2 linked regions of the Stegostoma tigrinum genome follow. The protein of the gene in region 1 binds, or shares a complex with, the protein of each later gene. Links are inferred from orthologs where the notes say so. Each region holds a gene or a part of one and is shown on either strand. Other genes may lie near its edges.

Region 1 (7,613 bases):
GCACTGGAGAAAATGTTGGGTGTCAGGTAAGCTTGTGGCAAAGCAGAGTCTGAGGAAGATTGCAGGTCCAATCAACAAACATACATATTGACCATGGTATTGTGTGTTTGGATCTGGGTCCCATGGTATAGCAGAGAGCAAACCATTGTCATTGTCATAGACTATACAGCATAGAAACAGACTCTTTGTTCCAACATGTCCACACCAATCCGACGCCCCAATCTGACCTAGTCCCATTTGCCAACATTTGGCCCACATCTCAGTAAACCCTTCCTATTCATATACCAATCCAGATGCCCTCTAAATGTTATAATTGTACCAGCCTCCATCACTTCCTCTGTCAATTCATTCCATATATGGACCACCTTTAGGTCCCATTTAAATCTTTTCCATCTGGCCTTAAACCTGCCCTCTAGTTCTGAACTCCCCACCTGAGGAAAAAGACCTTGGCTATTCAACCTATTCATGTCCTCTATATGGTGATCCCTTAAGCCCCAACACTGTAGGGAAAAAAAAAGTCCCAGTCTATTCAGCATCTCCCTATAATTCAAACCGTCCAGCCTCGGCAACCTCCTTAGAAATCTTTTATGTACCATCTCAAGTTTAATATTATACACAGTATTCTAAAAGTGGTCTCACGAATGTCCTCTACAGCCACACCATGATTTTCCAGCTCCTATACTCAATGCACTTACCATTAAAAGCAAATGTGCCAAATACCTTTTTCATTACCCTTTCTACATGTGAGTCCACTTTCAAGGAACTATGCACCTGCACCCCACATCTATTTTTTCAGCAACATTCCCCAGGAGCCTACCATTAACTGTATATGTTCTGCCCTGGTTTGCCGTATCAAAATACAACACTTCACATTTATCTAAAATGAACTCTATCTGCCACTCCTCGGTCCATTGGCCCATCTGATCAAAGTCCTGTTGTCCTCTGAAATGGCCTTCATCACTGTCCAATACACCACCAATTTTGATTTCATCTGCAAACTCACTAACCATACCTCCTATAATTTCATCCAAATCATTTATATTAATGACAAAAAACAATGGAGCCAGTATTGATCCTTGCAGCACATTGCCGGTCACAGTCTTCTCACGATAACTATAAATTACTTTTGGTAAGGAAAAAAGTCAAATAGCACAGGCCAAAATCACAATAATGTGTTTTTGTTTAAATAGTTCATGCTAATTCAAATTTAGACTAATTAAAGTGAAAATCCTTTAAATTATAAGCTTTTACTCAAAGACACAGCCATGTCTCAAATGGGTTTGTTTCATAACTTAAAATATATGACAAGCCTTATATATATATGATTTTTTTAAAGGTTGTTTTGAGCTTTAATTTGTTTAAGGTATCAACAGTTGTTATGGAGTTACACATGGTTCTCTGAATTAAAGGTATTGTTGGGCGTTGAAATTTTGGAGACTACTTAGACAGAACTCATGTGCGACATTTGGGACATTATTTAATTACTTAGGGATGAAGCTAGGTACATCTAAGTGGGCACATAAATGACTACATTTTACATCAGTAAGATGTAAAAGATTGATGCAGACAAGCATGCTGCAAAAAAAATGAAATAGGAGGTGGTAGGAAGTCAGAATGACTAACACTTCTATAAGAAATCAATCAGAAATTTGGCATACATTACTGAACCATCTGAAACACATGTACAGATCGTGGCAAGCAAATTAGAGTTCAGAATGTCTCTCATCATACACATGGGTTGTGGCTAGCGAGGATTAGTCAGTAGTGCTAATTTGGTTCACAAGGAGAACTTCAATTAACAGAAGACAACAAGAGACATGTGTCCAGTCAAACAGTGTCGCCAGCTGGGGTTCTGAAAAAGATGACTGAAAAACCACAAATTTTATGAGACACAATTTCTTTTGGACTTTCAATCCTGAAATTAACAAAATATGTGAAATTTCTGAAAACTTTGGAGTCAGTGGTACTGCCTTTGGCATCAGACCATATCTATTCTTGAGTGTGAACACAAAAGATTCCTTGATGCTATTTCAAGGAAGTGGAAGGGTGTTCATCCCCATATTTATTCCTCAATTTTCACCTAATAACAGATTACATTGTCATTATCACATTGCTGAATGTGGGAGCATGCCAAGCAAAAAATGGCTGCCAGGTTTCCTACACTATAACATCAATGACACTTCAATAAATATAGTTAGTTGGCTACATGGTGGGTTGTAACATCCTGAGGTCATGTAAGGGTCTAACAACCTAGAGGTTCTTTTTAAACTGATTGACAATTTGACAATTACCAAGAAACATGGCCAGTGTATATTTGTAGCATACCTGGGGATGACCCAAATGATGGATGAGTAATTGGTTGTTCATCTTGCCTGGATAGCCAGTCATCACAAGAAGGTTTATTTTCATTGGGTTTTGACCATTGGAATCATCGCACTCCATTCAAGTGTGATGGCCTCTTCTCTTCAGGGTAACTCAGAACCACAATATTGTTGGGGTTGGCTGAGTTCAGGTTCTGATCAATGGAGGGAAGTTTGGAGGAAATTTATATGGTACATAAACATGTCTTAAAGCCATTGTGATTTTGGTCTAAACTTGACAATAAGAACTGAACTACAAAGGTGAGGTGAGAGTTAATGTCCTTGACATCAGGCTGCATTTGACCAAGCATGGCATCAAGGAGCCTGAGCAAAATTGAAGCCAATAGGGGAGTCCACTCTGTGGTTTGGAGTCATGCATTATGCAATGGGTGATGAGTGCGGCTGTTGCACATCAGTCTTCCCGGCTCAGGGATGCCTCTACTGGTGTCCTTCAGGGTAATAACCTCGGCCCAAGCATCTTTGGTTGCTTCATCAATGACTTCCTCTCCTTCATACAGTCAGAAGTGGGGATGTCCGCTCATGATTGCACAATGCTCAGCACCATTTGTAACTCCTCAGATACTGAAGCAGCTATATGTAGCAAGACCTAGACTGATAAGTGACAAATAATATTGCATAAGTCAAGTGCCAGATAATGTCAATCTCCAACAAAAGAGAATATAACCAATGCCCCTTGCTGTTCAATGGCATTACCTTTACTAAATCCCCACTATCAACATTCTGGTGTTACCATTGGCTAGTAACTGAATTTGACAAGAAGTATATCTATTGTAGCTACAATGTGCAGTTCAGACGTTAGGAATCCTGCAATGAATAATTCAGCTCCTGTCTCCTTAATACCCACTTCCATCATTTATCAAACACAAATAAGAAGTGTGTGGAAACACTCTCCACTTGGCTAGATGGGTGCAACTCCAACAACACTCAAGATGCTTGAATTCATCCAGGATAAAGCAGCCCTCTTGATCAGGACTCAACCTGTCACGTTCAACATTCATTTCCTCCACCACTGATGTTCAGTACAGCAATGTAAACCATCTTTAATATAGACTACTGTGCACCAAGGATTCTCCAACAGCACCTTCCAAACTCATAACCTTAACCACTGAGAAGGACAAAGTGCAGCAGAAATGTGGGAATACCATCACATGCAACATCCCTTCCAAGCCACTCACCATTCTCACTTGGAAATATATTGGCATTCTTTTAGTGTTGCTGGATCAAAGTCCTAGAATTGCCTCCCTCAGAGCCCTGTAGATCTACCTACAGTGCATTGCCTGCTTTGGTTCATGTAGGCACCACCACGTTCTCCAGGGCAATCAGGGACGGGCAGTAGGTGCTGACCTAGTTAACAATTCCACATTCCTATGAGTGAAAAGTTCTGAAAATTGGATCATAATAATTGAACAATGAGCACAGGGCATGATTTTAGATCTTTACCCAAAGAACCAAAGAAAACGATTAGAAGAGTTGGAAGGAGATGAATCAGATTACAGGCTATCTTTTCACCGAGTGAAGGGTAGACATTTTTTTGCCAGCTTATTGTGGGGACACTGGAATGGGCTAGGATAGGAGGAGGGGACCAGATTCTTCAGAACGCTCAGAGCGGCTGATTAGTTTTCGACACAATGTTTAATATTGCCAATTATTGGGCGGAATTTAGTTGTGAAATAATTCCATTCTTTACACTGGATGTGTTCATCCTTCGCTTTGAGAGCTAAATAAATGAATACAGACTTGTCTGTTCAACAATTCACCATCTAAACGACTCATTCTCTGTCCGTCTCTCAATCCCTCGTGCACACGTTTCGACTCCCAGAGCCATTTGCTGCTCTTTTGGTTAATTGCAGGAATGCGCCTCCAGGCAGAATTCTTTCGGATTCTTTAGAGCCCAATGCGGAGAGGAGGACATGAACGGATTGAATGCTAAAGCTGTGTCCCTGAGAGGCAATTGAAAGCTGCAATATGAACACTTGACGGTGAGAACTGAAACAAAGCAACCAGGAGCTGGCCGAGAAAGCTGGGCAGCTGCTGAGTGCTGAACGCATTTTAACTGGACACTCTTGGGAATGAGATTAATAAATCATTCAGATCGAAGGTGGCGATACAGCTACAATGAGCATGCAAATCTGTCACTTGTTGTTTAATCATAGACTATACATCAAAAGGACAAAACATTTCGCTGAATGGCATTTTAAGGCAATCACCAAAAAGGTTCCTCTCTTGCCTCCCTTTCTGAAGAATTTCGGGTTAGGAAGCCATTTGTGGGGCAGATGCAAGCCGGCAAGGGATGAAGGGTGGTCTTCCTCTCGTTCCTGCCCTCCCAGAGGTACTGACGTCTCCTGTGCAAATGTGTTTTAAAGAGACCAGCCTCTGTTATTTCCCGGTGTTTGTCTGTCAGGCTGCCAGAGTCAACACGTGTGTGCTGGAGCCCTAGGCATAACGCCCTCTCTCTCTCTCTCTCTCACGCACATACACTGACAATCAGCAGAGTTGCGACTCAGGGAAAAGAATGACTCTGCAGAGTTTCACTCAGTGACCTCAGCGGCAAGCTGACGACTAAAAGCGGCCAGGAAACGTGGGGGAAGAGATGGGCCACATTGTGTCTGCCTGTCTGAGCGTCTCTCTGTGACATGCAGCGAGCTTCTGGAGTGAGCAAGATCTGACGGAAGAAACGGTGACTTGCAGTGCTCTCTCACCATGGAGCTGACCGCGTGGCAAGGCAATGACTCTGAGCCAGGGAACCAGACCGAGGAAATGGACACTAAATTCCTGCAGCCCGAGTGGCAGATTGCCCTGTGGGCGCTCGCCTACTCCATTATTGTGGCGGTGGGAGTGTGCGGGAACCTGGTGGTCATGTGGATTATTCTGGCCCACAAGAGGATGCGGACAGTAACCAACTATTTCTTGGTCAACCTGGCTTTCACCGAGTGCTCCGTGGCTGCTTTCAATGCGGTCATCAACTTTGTCTACGGCATCCACAACGAGTGGTACTTCGGCCTCGGCTACTGTCGTTTCCACAACTTTTTCCCCATTACTGCCATGTTCGCCAGCATCTACTCAATGACTGCTATCGCCCTGGACAGGTGAGCTTTTCACCGCCTTAACCCAAGGCTCACTTTGGAATAGTGCCATCATGTTCTCAGGAGAGGCTGGGACTTTTCTCACTGGAGCGTAGGAGGTTGAGGGGTGACCTTACAGAGGTTTATGAAACCTTGAGCGGTATAGATAGGTGAATGGAGATCGCAAGAATCGCAGATATCGGAGTCAGAGCCGATACGATGTGGAGCTGGAGGAATACAACAGTAATGCAGCATCAGAGGAGCAGGAAAGTCGATGTTCGTCATATACCCTTCATCAGCACTAGGAACAGTACTTGCCCAGTCCTGATGAAGCGTGTAAACCCGAAACATCGACTTTCGACTTTCCTGCTCATCTGATGCTGCCTGACCTATTGTGTTTCTCTAGCTCCACTCAGTATTGGCTACAGAGGTGAATAGTAGGTGTTTTTTTTTCCTGCGGTGAGGATTTCAAGACTAGGGGCATATTTTTAAGGTGAGAGGAGAAAGATTGAAAAAAGACATGGGGGGGGCGGGGGGTTGCATGGGGATAAGTACATGAGTAGGAAATGTTTGGAGGGATCGCGGTCAAGCGCAGGCAGGTGCGACCAGTTCAGCTTAAGCTCATGATCGTCGTGGACTGGTTGGACCGAAGGGTCTGTTTCCGTGCTGTATGACTCTGAAACATTTCTACGCCTCTCCCGCCCTCTGGCATCGCTGTCTTCCTCTCTTGAAACCTTTTAACGCTGTCTCTGCCTCTCTGTACCCCTGTGGCTCGCCATCCAGCTCTCTCTCTCTACATACTCGGTCCCGGCTGCAGAGAGGTTAATCTCAATTGAGGCTCGTATCGATTTAGATCTTGATGGTGCAGGCTTGATGGGCCAAACGGCCTGTTCGGTACGGTGTGATTATCTGCTGAAGTGTCCGGACCAAGCCTCCTATCTCAGAAAGGCGCAAGTTCCTCGCCTGGAGCTGCAGTCTCGCTATTGAATCTCATCGGTTGGAGGCGAATTAGCAATTTCGGCGTCTCCTCTTCAACCATTGCCGCACGGAGCCCGTGAACTGAAGCACCCGGTGGCCGAGATGCAATTTCATCCCGCTTCTAATCCGCTGTCTCCCATAAAGTGCTGAGCCTAACTGTGCCTCAGAGCTCTCAGGCGCCACCGCTGTCCGTTTTCCTCTCTCCGTGACTCCGGTACGATTAGCACTAACCCAGAGCTGGGCAGCAGTGCGCCGAGCTCGTGATAAGACAAGACACAGCTCCTGACTCAATCCTTTGTTTCAACCTGCCGTCTCCCACGAACAGCCTTCCATTTCTCCCCGCTCACAGGCAAACAGGGCTCTTTCTCTCTCTTGCACACACGAATTTGCACACAGGCTCGCCAGCAAGTTTGTCTCCAATTCTAAACACTGAACACGTAAGAACAAGGAAAGCCGAAGCACAGTGTCCAGCGGACAGAGATTGGGGTTCAACTCTTGGGACAGGTCAGAGCTGAGAATGCTATCAGCCATTTTCACAAGAAGGGTGCCAGTGCTGAGTGAGAATTTGTGAAATATGCCTTTAATTTTAAGAAAATAAATGCTCGGTTGTTGGAATCAATCATCTTAAAACGAGGGACGGTGCAATTTCGCTCGAAAACGTTCACACACTTGTTACTGGTTTGGCCCCTGCGCTGTTTGCCAGCGCCATCCTTGAGGTAGAGGCACCAGGCGAGATGTTTTATGATTTGGTTTATGTTTGGCTTATGATCTATAGAAATTTGTCATGTTGCGATGACAATTCTGCCAGACTGACTCAGTATGGCTTGTTCGTTTATTTTCATCCTCTTTGAAGTTTGAACGGAAAGGCCTGGACAGACGCGACGGTTTGTTAGGCCTTTTCGAGTTCTGTCGTTAGACACATATTTAACACATAGGGCAAGACTTTTTCACGCTGTTCTTTATAGACGAAGCATTTAACTCCAAGATGGGGCAGTGTGACATGTCCTTGCTTTTCAGAAAGATTGTAGGAGTGCCAGCAAACAATTATGAGAGATGACAACTGGACAACATCTTTCAGCTGAGGACCAATGTCACACAAGCATTGCGGTTTGGCGCTTCTCTCGCCTCTTAACACTCCTAAATCTCCATTGGTGGAGCTTTTAAGCTTTCAAAGATATAAACTAGTTTTAAA
Region 2 (6,977 bases), on another chromosome or scaffold:
GAAAGCAAAATACTGAGGATGCTGAAGAATGTGCCTAGCAGGCAAAACTCAGCATGTCTGGCGGCATTTGGAGAAAGAGAAAGAACAATTGTTTATTTATACTCGCGTTAAAACGTTAAAACGTCCAAAGGCCCGTCATTTACATGAAAACAGGCACAAACATTGGCAAGTGTAACAGACTAAGGTTGGAGCATATGATTAAAGCTCGGTGAAAGAGGGAGATGGGGAGCGTCTTTCTAGGAGACAGAGGTAAAAGTGGTTTCATAAAGGAAGTTCAGAGTTTCTCCACACAGCTGACGGCACAGCCATACTGGGGCAGTAATTATAATTGAAGAGTTTCAATAGAACAGAACGAGAGAATCCGGTTACCTCAACAAGTTGCAGGGCTGGAGGGAATTAGAGATGGGGCGTGACAGTATTTTGAGAGGAATTTTAAAAGAAGTTGCTTTACTTGGAGCCAATGTGCATCAGTCAGTGTAGTGTCTAAGGGGTGAGCAGGATTTCGCGCGAATTAGACAGCACGGATATGTATGACCGTAATTTTATGGAAATAGGATGTGGGAAACTGACTGAGAGTGTATTTCTCCGGGGGCAATGAAGGCACGGGTGGAGATTTCAGTAGCAGATGCAGTGGGGAAGGATGAAATCGGACAATGACACAGAAATGGAAATAGACAATCTTCCTGATGGCACAGATATGTGGTTGGAGGCTCATTTCTGTCAAACTTGACAACAGGGTTCTGAGTTGTCTCATTTACGCTCCGCGTTGTCAGGGAGAGCGAGGTTGGTAGCTAAGGAAAGGGGGTGTGCAGCAAGATTGAAGGCAACGGCTTTAGTCGCCTCGACACGTAGTTGGGGGACATTTCTGCCCTCTCAATACTGGGTGCCAGTCTTAGAAACAATGGAAGAGTTGTAGGGACGAGAAGAAGAGGTGGTAGAGCTGAATGTGGTCAAATCTGATACTTCTCCCCATAGTCAGGTCGGCTCTAAATCCAAAGTCATACTTTCCCGTTCGCCCCTCTGAGTTTGGAGCTTATCTAGAATTCAGCGCGCATTCTAAACAAAAACAGATATATGACCCCAAAAAGGCGTGAATATCCTCTGGTGTGAACAAGGGTATAGGTATAGATTGTAGCTCTCCAGGCCTACAGGATTCACATTGTCGGGAAGGTGCAAAATGATATGCAAATAAAAATGCTGCGAATGCTGAGGATCAGAAACAAAGGGATATTATCGGAGAATCTCAACAGGTCTGGTAGCATCTGTAGAGAGAAAGCAGAGTTAATGTGTCGAATCTGGTTACCGTCCTGAAGTCCTGAAGACTTTCTGAAACAAGGATCACCGGACTCGAAGTCGTTAGCTCTGCTTTCTCTCTACAGATGCTGCTAGACTAGCTGGAAAATTATTGTTCGGGTAGACCCAATCCCGTTCTCTCTCCCGCGGTCAGAGTTCGAAATAGCGGGATTTACCCTTATGATTGCAGAGCAATGAGGGCTGACCTAAAAACACTTCCCAAGCTCTTTGGATCTCCTGCGCTTTTCTAAAGGTTTTAAGTGTGCAGATGTTCCTGTTCTGAAAACACAGTTTAAGCGTTGTCAGGGGAGTGGTGTATTCCTGAAACCACACATCTTCAGATCCCTCCCCTGGGTAGGGGAATTCCAATGTACTGACTAGATGAAATAAGTACTTAGATTGGTAGTTATGAAAAAGCACATTTTAAAACTTATCTACGTCAGAGGGGTTCTCACGGACGAAGTTAAATATTGCTAAGCATTGACTTTACGAGAATTCTTATGCTACTTAATTAACGTCTTAGTGTTGAGAATATAAATCCGCCTGTTTGCAGGAGATTGAAGTCTCCATGACTACATTGAGTTCCAAGTCAGTTTTCTTCTCAAACCTTCAACTGCATCCATGGAAGTACATGTTAAAGCATAACAAGCGTTCAACCGAGTGCTGGCTGAGAATTCCCGTGGATTCCAATTCCAAAGCCTGGGTTTTAATATTCTCATCCCATGTCGCCCTCTCCAGCGTCTGCAACCCTTCGGTGTAATCTTCGACATGATCTCCTTGACTGGCAGGACAAGCTCGATGGCCCGAATGGCTACGCCTGCTTCCAATTCATACTTCTCAATGAGTTATTCAATTCTTAAAATTTGGAATTTCCTCTCTCAACCTCTTTGGCTTTTCCTGCACCTTTAAGCTTTAGCTCTTCAAAGACGTTTTCAGTAATTTGTCCTACTTCTTAATATCGCTTGGATTTTAATTTCGGTTTCATAGCTTTCTTGTGAGGCATTTTGAAATGTCATGTCGTGAGAAAGGTGCTGCACAAACATATGTTGCAGTTATTTGGAACGATTTTAATCCTCACCAACCGAGATTTGAGATCTCTTTTGAAAAACCTTGCTCGTATTTTTCTAACTAAAACTTGACAAAACTCCAATGTGGTACATGCAAGTAGCGGTAACTGTCAACATTTAACTGTGGGATTTATTAGATGAAATGGAGTCAGTCGTGCAGCCGGAAATATAAGCCTGAAGAGTTCTGAAATAGGCTTAAAGGTCCTGCTGGTTTTGTAAAAGGATTCAAAAATAACCTTGATAAAATGTGAGGCTGGATGAACACAGCAGGCCAAGCAGCCTCTCAGGAGCACAAAAGCTGACGTTTCGGTCTAGACCCTTCATCAGTGAGATGCTGCTTGGCCTGCTGTGTTCATCCAGCCTCACATTTTATCTTGGAATTCTCCAGCATCTGCAGTTCCCATTATCTCTCACAAAAATAACCTTTTCTATTTTTAAAAAAAGTTCCTAAATATCATGAATTAACATTTATTTGCTTCTGTTTTACTCTGAATTTGCAGATACATTTTGTTATAAATTAACTAATTACATGTGTAGAGTTTATTGTTTATCTTTCCTTCCACCATAAAGAGGAAATTAAATCTTGAAATGACTAAAGAACTGGTGGAATTTACGCCATGGATATCACGTTGGATAATACCCCCCACCCCCCCATTAAAGATCTTGCATCTCACACATTACCTGACTTTGACATTGTAATTTTTTCTTACCTTTCAAATTTCGACAATGAGTGCGAATATTCAGATTTGTTGGCTGAAGCGAAGTTGCTACAAATATTTCCTCTGATATTACATTTTAGAATCATCTTCAAAAAGGCTAAAATATCATGTAAAATACTTACGTAAAGTGCAGGAATAGCCTAGTTTAAGGTCTGAACTGATGTTTGCATTTTGCTCAACTACGAAATAGTTGCAGAGAGAAAACTTCCCACGGCAAATGATTTGAATAAATTCAATACAGTTGCAGTAAAACGCTCACTTATAAATGTAAATTATGTGTGACATTTGCGCCTGTATGGATAGATGATGTGTAAATGGTTTCCTAATCTTAAATTCTAGCCATTTAATTGACCATAAAACATAAAAATAATTTAAGTTACAGTTACTGTTCTTCTTTGCTTAACTTCCAAATAAATTACATCCTCAAAAGGCATAGCTTTGTCTGAACAAACCAAATTGAGGGCATTTCCTATCAGTTTAAAGTAAATTGCATTGTTCAATTTGAGCCGATTTGAAGTATCTTATCTGTATTCAGAGAAGGTCCTTTCTTTCCACAATCGGATTACAAATGATTAAAAACTGAATCAAAATATTGACTCCGGGGTAGCCATTAGGTGAAAAAGATATATTAAACCTAAGTATTGACGTCGGTTTGAACACTCATTCACAGCGTTGCTCATATCTGGGAAATGACTGAAGCAAACAAAGGACAGGAATACACATCTTGACATTTCTGCACTTCAATATCGATCTTCTAATTCAATTTGTCAAACGGAGGCAAGATTCATTCACCTTCGAATTCCTGGAGCGCTATTTTTGGATCTGTAACGTACCTGCGCTCTAATGACCCCCCTGGTGCTGGGTATAAATTGCAAGGAATTCAACGGGATTTTCATTCGCATACCAGCCTTGAGATCCGGAATCTGAGCCATTCAAACTCCACTTGGGAGACGACTCTGCAAGATACAGCAAGAGCAGTTGATTCTGCCGGTGCAGTTGGCAAATAATTGGAGCGGATCAACAAAGGAGCCAGTGAGCTCGGGAATTTCCGGGATCGGGCGGAAAAACACGAATTGGACCAGGTAGTGAGCATCCATCCTCCAGCACAGGCAAAGAGAGAGCGCAGCCTCTTCAATAGCGACCACTTGCTGCGCACGGTCTTCCGCAGCTCCCACTGCCAGAGCCTGAGCGGTCAACAGCCCTACCCTGTCCCAGGATGAGAACTCTCCGGCTGATCGCAGTGACAGTCAGCCTCCTGGTTTTGACAGATGTCTTTTGCGAAGAGGTTTCCCGGAATGAAGGCGTTTCTCTATGGGACGAAAGCGACCACGGCCAGGTAATGTTTCAATTAATGTACAATTTACAACTACATGATATAAGCGTTGAAATTTAATTTTACTCAGTTTGCGTTTTCCCTGTGCCTCGCCATTCCACAAACTTAAAGGGTAGGGGCCGATAGTGATTACCAATAGGGCAACATCGAAGTACTTTTTTGGTTCCACATGGCTTACTCCCATCTTCAGGAATGTGTCGGAAATAATGGCATGTATTGCCGTGAAAAACCAGTGGGCATCTGTTCAGTAACGTATGGATAAGAGGACGATGAGTTAGATACGTTTCCTGTATGAATGAGTTTCTAGCTGATTTTTTTTGGTGTGGAAAGTCAGTTATGGACACAACTAAATGTTACAATAGTGTCCGAATGCGCAATCAGCAACAATTGGCAACCCGCAGTTGGTCTCCCTCACAGCGCGCTGTGCTGTTACATGTTGGAATAGGTACCAGGAACCTTTTTTGCTTGTGGACCGGTCTGATGTTTCCTGGCGTATCACTCGGTGGGACTCCCGCCACTGACAGGAGGCATGTGGAATGCAGGAGGAAAGAGAGGAAAGTTACAACAAGAATAATTCTGGCTAAAAACTTGTCACTCACAAGGTCTCAGCTCACTGTTAGAGAATCGTCGGTGACTCTAGGTCAAAGTTAGCCAGCTCCGGCTTTGAATATACCCGGGGGCGAGGAGTTGCTGCATTCTCAAGTTTTCGAATACTAAGTGAAAATATTAATTAGACAGCGAGACAGATGCTGCGATATCAATAATGAGTTGCTATGGCATTATAAATCCTCTTCAATAGACAAAAACTTGTCAGTTACAGAAAACGCAATAGGAGGGCCCCTGCCAGGAGTGGTTCAGCAAACGAATGGAGAATGTAATGAGACATCTTTTGACTGAAATGAGCTGTAGTTAAATCTATGCAATCAAACTGAATTATATATAAACCTGATTGAATCAATTTACTGAACAAAAAAAGAAGTTGCTGGAAAAGCTCAGCAGGTCTGGCAACATTTGTGAAGAAAAAAAATCACAGTTAACGTTTCGGGTCCGGTGGCCCTTCCTCAGAACTGCCAGAACTGAGGAATGGTCTCACGACCTGAAACGTTAACTTTTTTTCATTCACAAAGGCTGCCAGACTTCTGTTTTTGTTCCTGATTTACGGCATCTGCATTTCTTCCGTTTTTTTTTATTTTGAATCAAATTCCTGTGCGCGTGAAAGGAGATTAGTATTAAGTTCCAATTAGTTCCCAATTATGTTAACGATAGTTGACATTTCATCTCAAATCACCCCTTTTATTCTAAATTATGCAGATAGCCCGGGCTATTAGAAAGGTTTGTATTTATAAATATTCAACAGTGGATCGTTATTTAGCAATCAACAGATATTTGTGAACATTGCTATTCAGTAATTGGAAACGCTAGTTGTAAAACTACAGCGTTTGAATACATTTTTCCCAATACAAATCTGGTGCCTGTGCATGGTATCTGGCCAAGTAAAGGCGAAGTCGTGCATCCAGTTCGATGGGTGGAGCTCTCGCGGGGTGGCTGGCTAGCGTGAATGCATACGCTGTACCCTATATAAGTTTGGACCCTAATTATCCCCTATCTAATTATAACTTATTTCAGCAATGGTGCGCTGAGTTTACTGTACCTGTTGCCCGATGCAGTGCCAGAAATTGAGCTGAATAAAAAATAGCCCAGCCCGGAGCGGGTTGGTAACTCAGCAACACGGCTCGTCACATCCCAACTGCAACATCCATGCAGAGAAAACATGGAGAAACAAACTGCAAGAAACAGCGGCAGAGATTCGGCTCGGGATTGCTGCCTCAATTTGTCTTTTGCGATCTTTAGAAAAGTAACGTGATGAGAATGCATTTAAAAAAACACACACACTAACCTGGCCTCCTGACATACCACATTAACAGTAACAGACTGGGACACAGATAGAGCCATATCGCGGAGGAAAAGTTGGGTAATTGTGCATTATTTTCTCCCCTGCTTTGATCTGTTTTCAGAACAAACGACTGCAGCCGGATTCCTTTCGGGAGCTCCTGAAGCGTGTGGCCCGGAAACCACGACCCGAGCAGTTCTTTGGCTTAATGGGCAGGCGGTCATTCGGTAAGGTGTATTTGTAATGTAGTGTTGCTGGCTAAACTGGTTTGTTTGTAGAGTATTGTCAATCTATTCCACCTGCTTAACCAAGGGCACCTTTTCACATGAGCCCATTGTCAAATGACAAAGATCAAAATTCTTGGAATATATTAAAAATAAATAAAAACAAATCGTTCAAAGCAGGAATGGCAAGAAGTCAGGTGTATTTATACAGACGAAGAACCTGGAAATGCACAGCACAGTGATCTCACCGGGACAGGAAAAGATTCTAGCGGAGATCGGGCAGGGTCAAATCTTGTTTCATCTTTCCAGGGTTTCAGTGTTTTATGGTTGTGTTTCGTATTTACAAACTACTCCATTCCCTCAATATCTGGTTGAGAAATGAGATACATTTCCTTTGGTTCCACATGCTACATCTGGTGTTAAATGACCACTGTTAAATTTAATCCCATG

What was found.
Region 2: the proteins of substance-P receptor-like (region 1) and protachykinin-like are in contact, whole or in part, in a cryo-EM structure (PDB 7P02), measured with the Homo sapiens proteins. The link is inferred for Stegostoma tigrinum from reciprocal best matches to the Homo sapiens genes TACR1 and TAC1. Residues at the interface, in NP_001049.1 of Homo sapiens: Gln24, Phe25, Asn85, Asn89, Tyr92, Ala93, Asn96, Trp98, His108, Asn109, Ile113, Gln165, Met174, Arg177, Val179, Cys180, Met181, Ile182, His197, Val200, Phe264, Phe267, Phe268, Tyr278, Leu279, Ile283, Gln284, Tyr287, Met291; in NP_003173.1 of Homo sapiens: Lys60, Pro61, Gln62, Gln63, Phe64, Phe65, Gly66, Leu67, Met68.

Annotation. Positions count from the first base shown.
Region 1 is NC_081393.1:13,701,831-13,709,443, reverse strand, and holds the start of substance-P receptor-like, read left to right. Parts: upstream 1-4,605; 5' UTR 4,606-5,081; coding exon 5,082-5,467; intron 5,468-7,613. UniProt on the Homo sapiens protein: This is a receptor for the tachykinin neuropeptide substance P. It is probably associated with G proteins that activate a phosphatidylinositol-calcium second messenger system.
Region 2 is NC_081355.1:82,537,576-82,544,552, reverse strand, and holds the start of protachykinin-like, read left to right. Parts: upstream 1-3,961; 5' UTR 3,962-4,295; coding exon 4,296-4,415; intron 4,416-6,427; coding exon 6,428-6,530; intron 6,531-6,977. UniProt on the Homo sapiens protein: Tachykinins are active peptides which excite neurons, evoke behavioral responses, are potent vasodilators and secretagogues, and contract (directly or indirectly) many smooth muscles.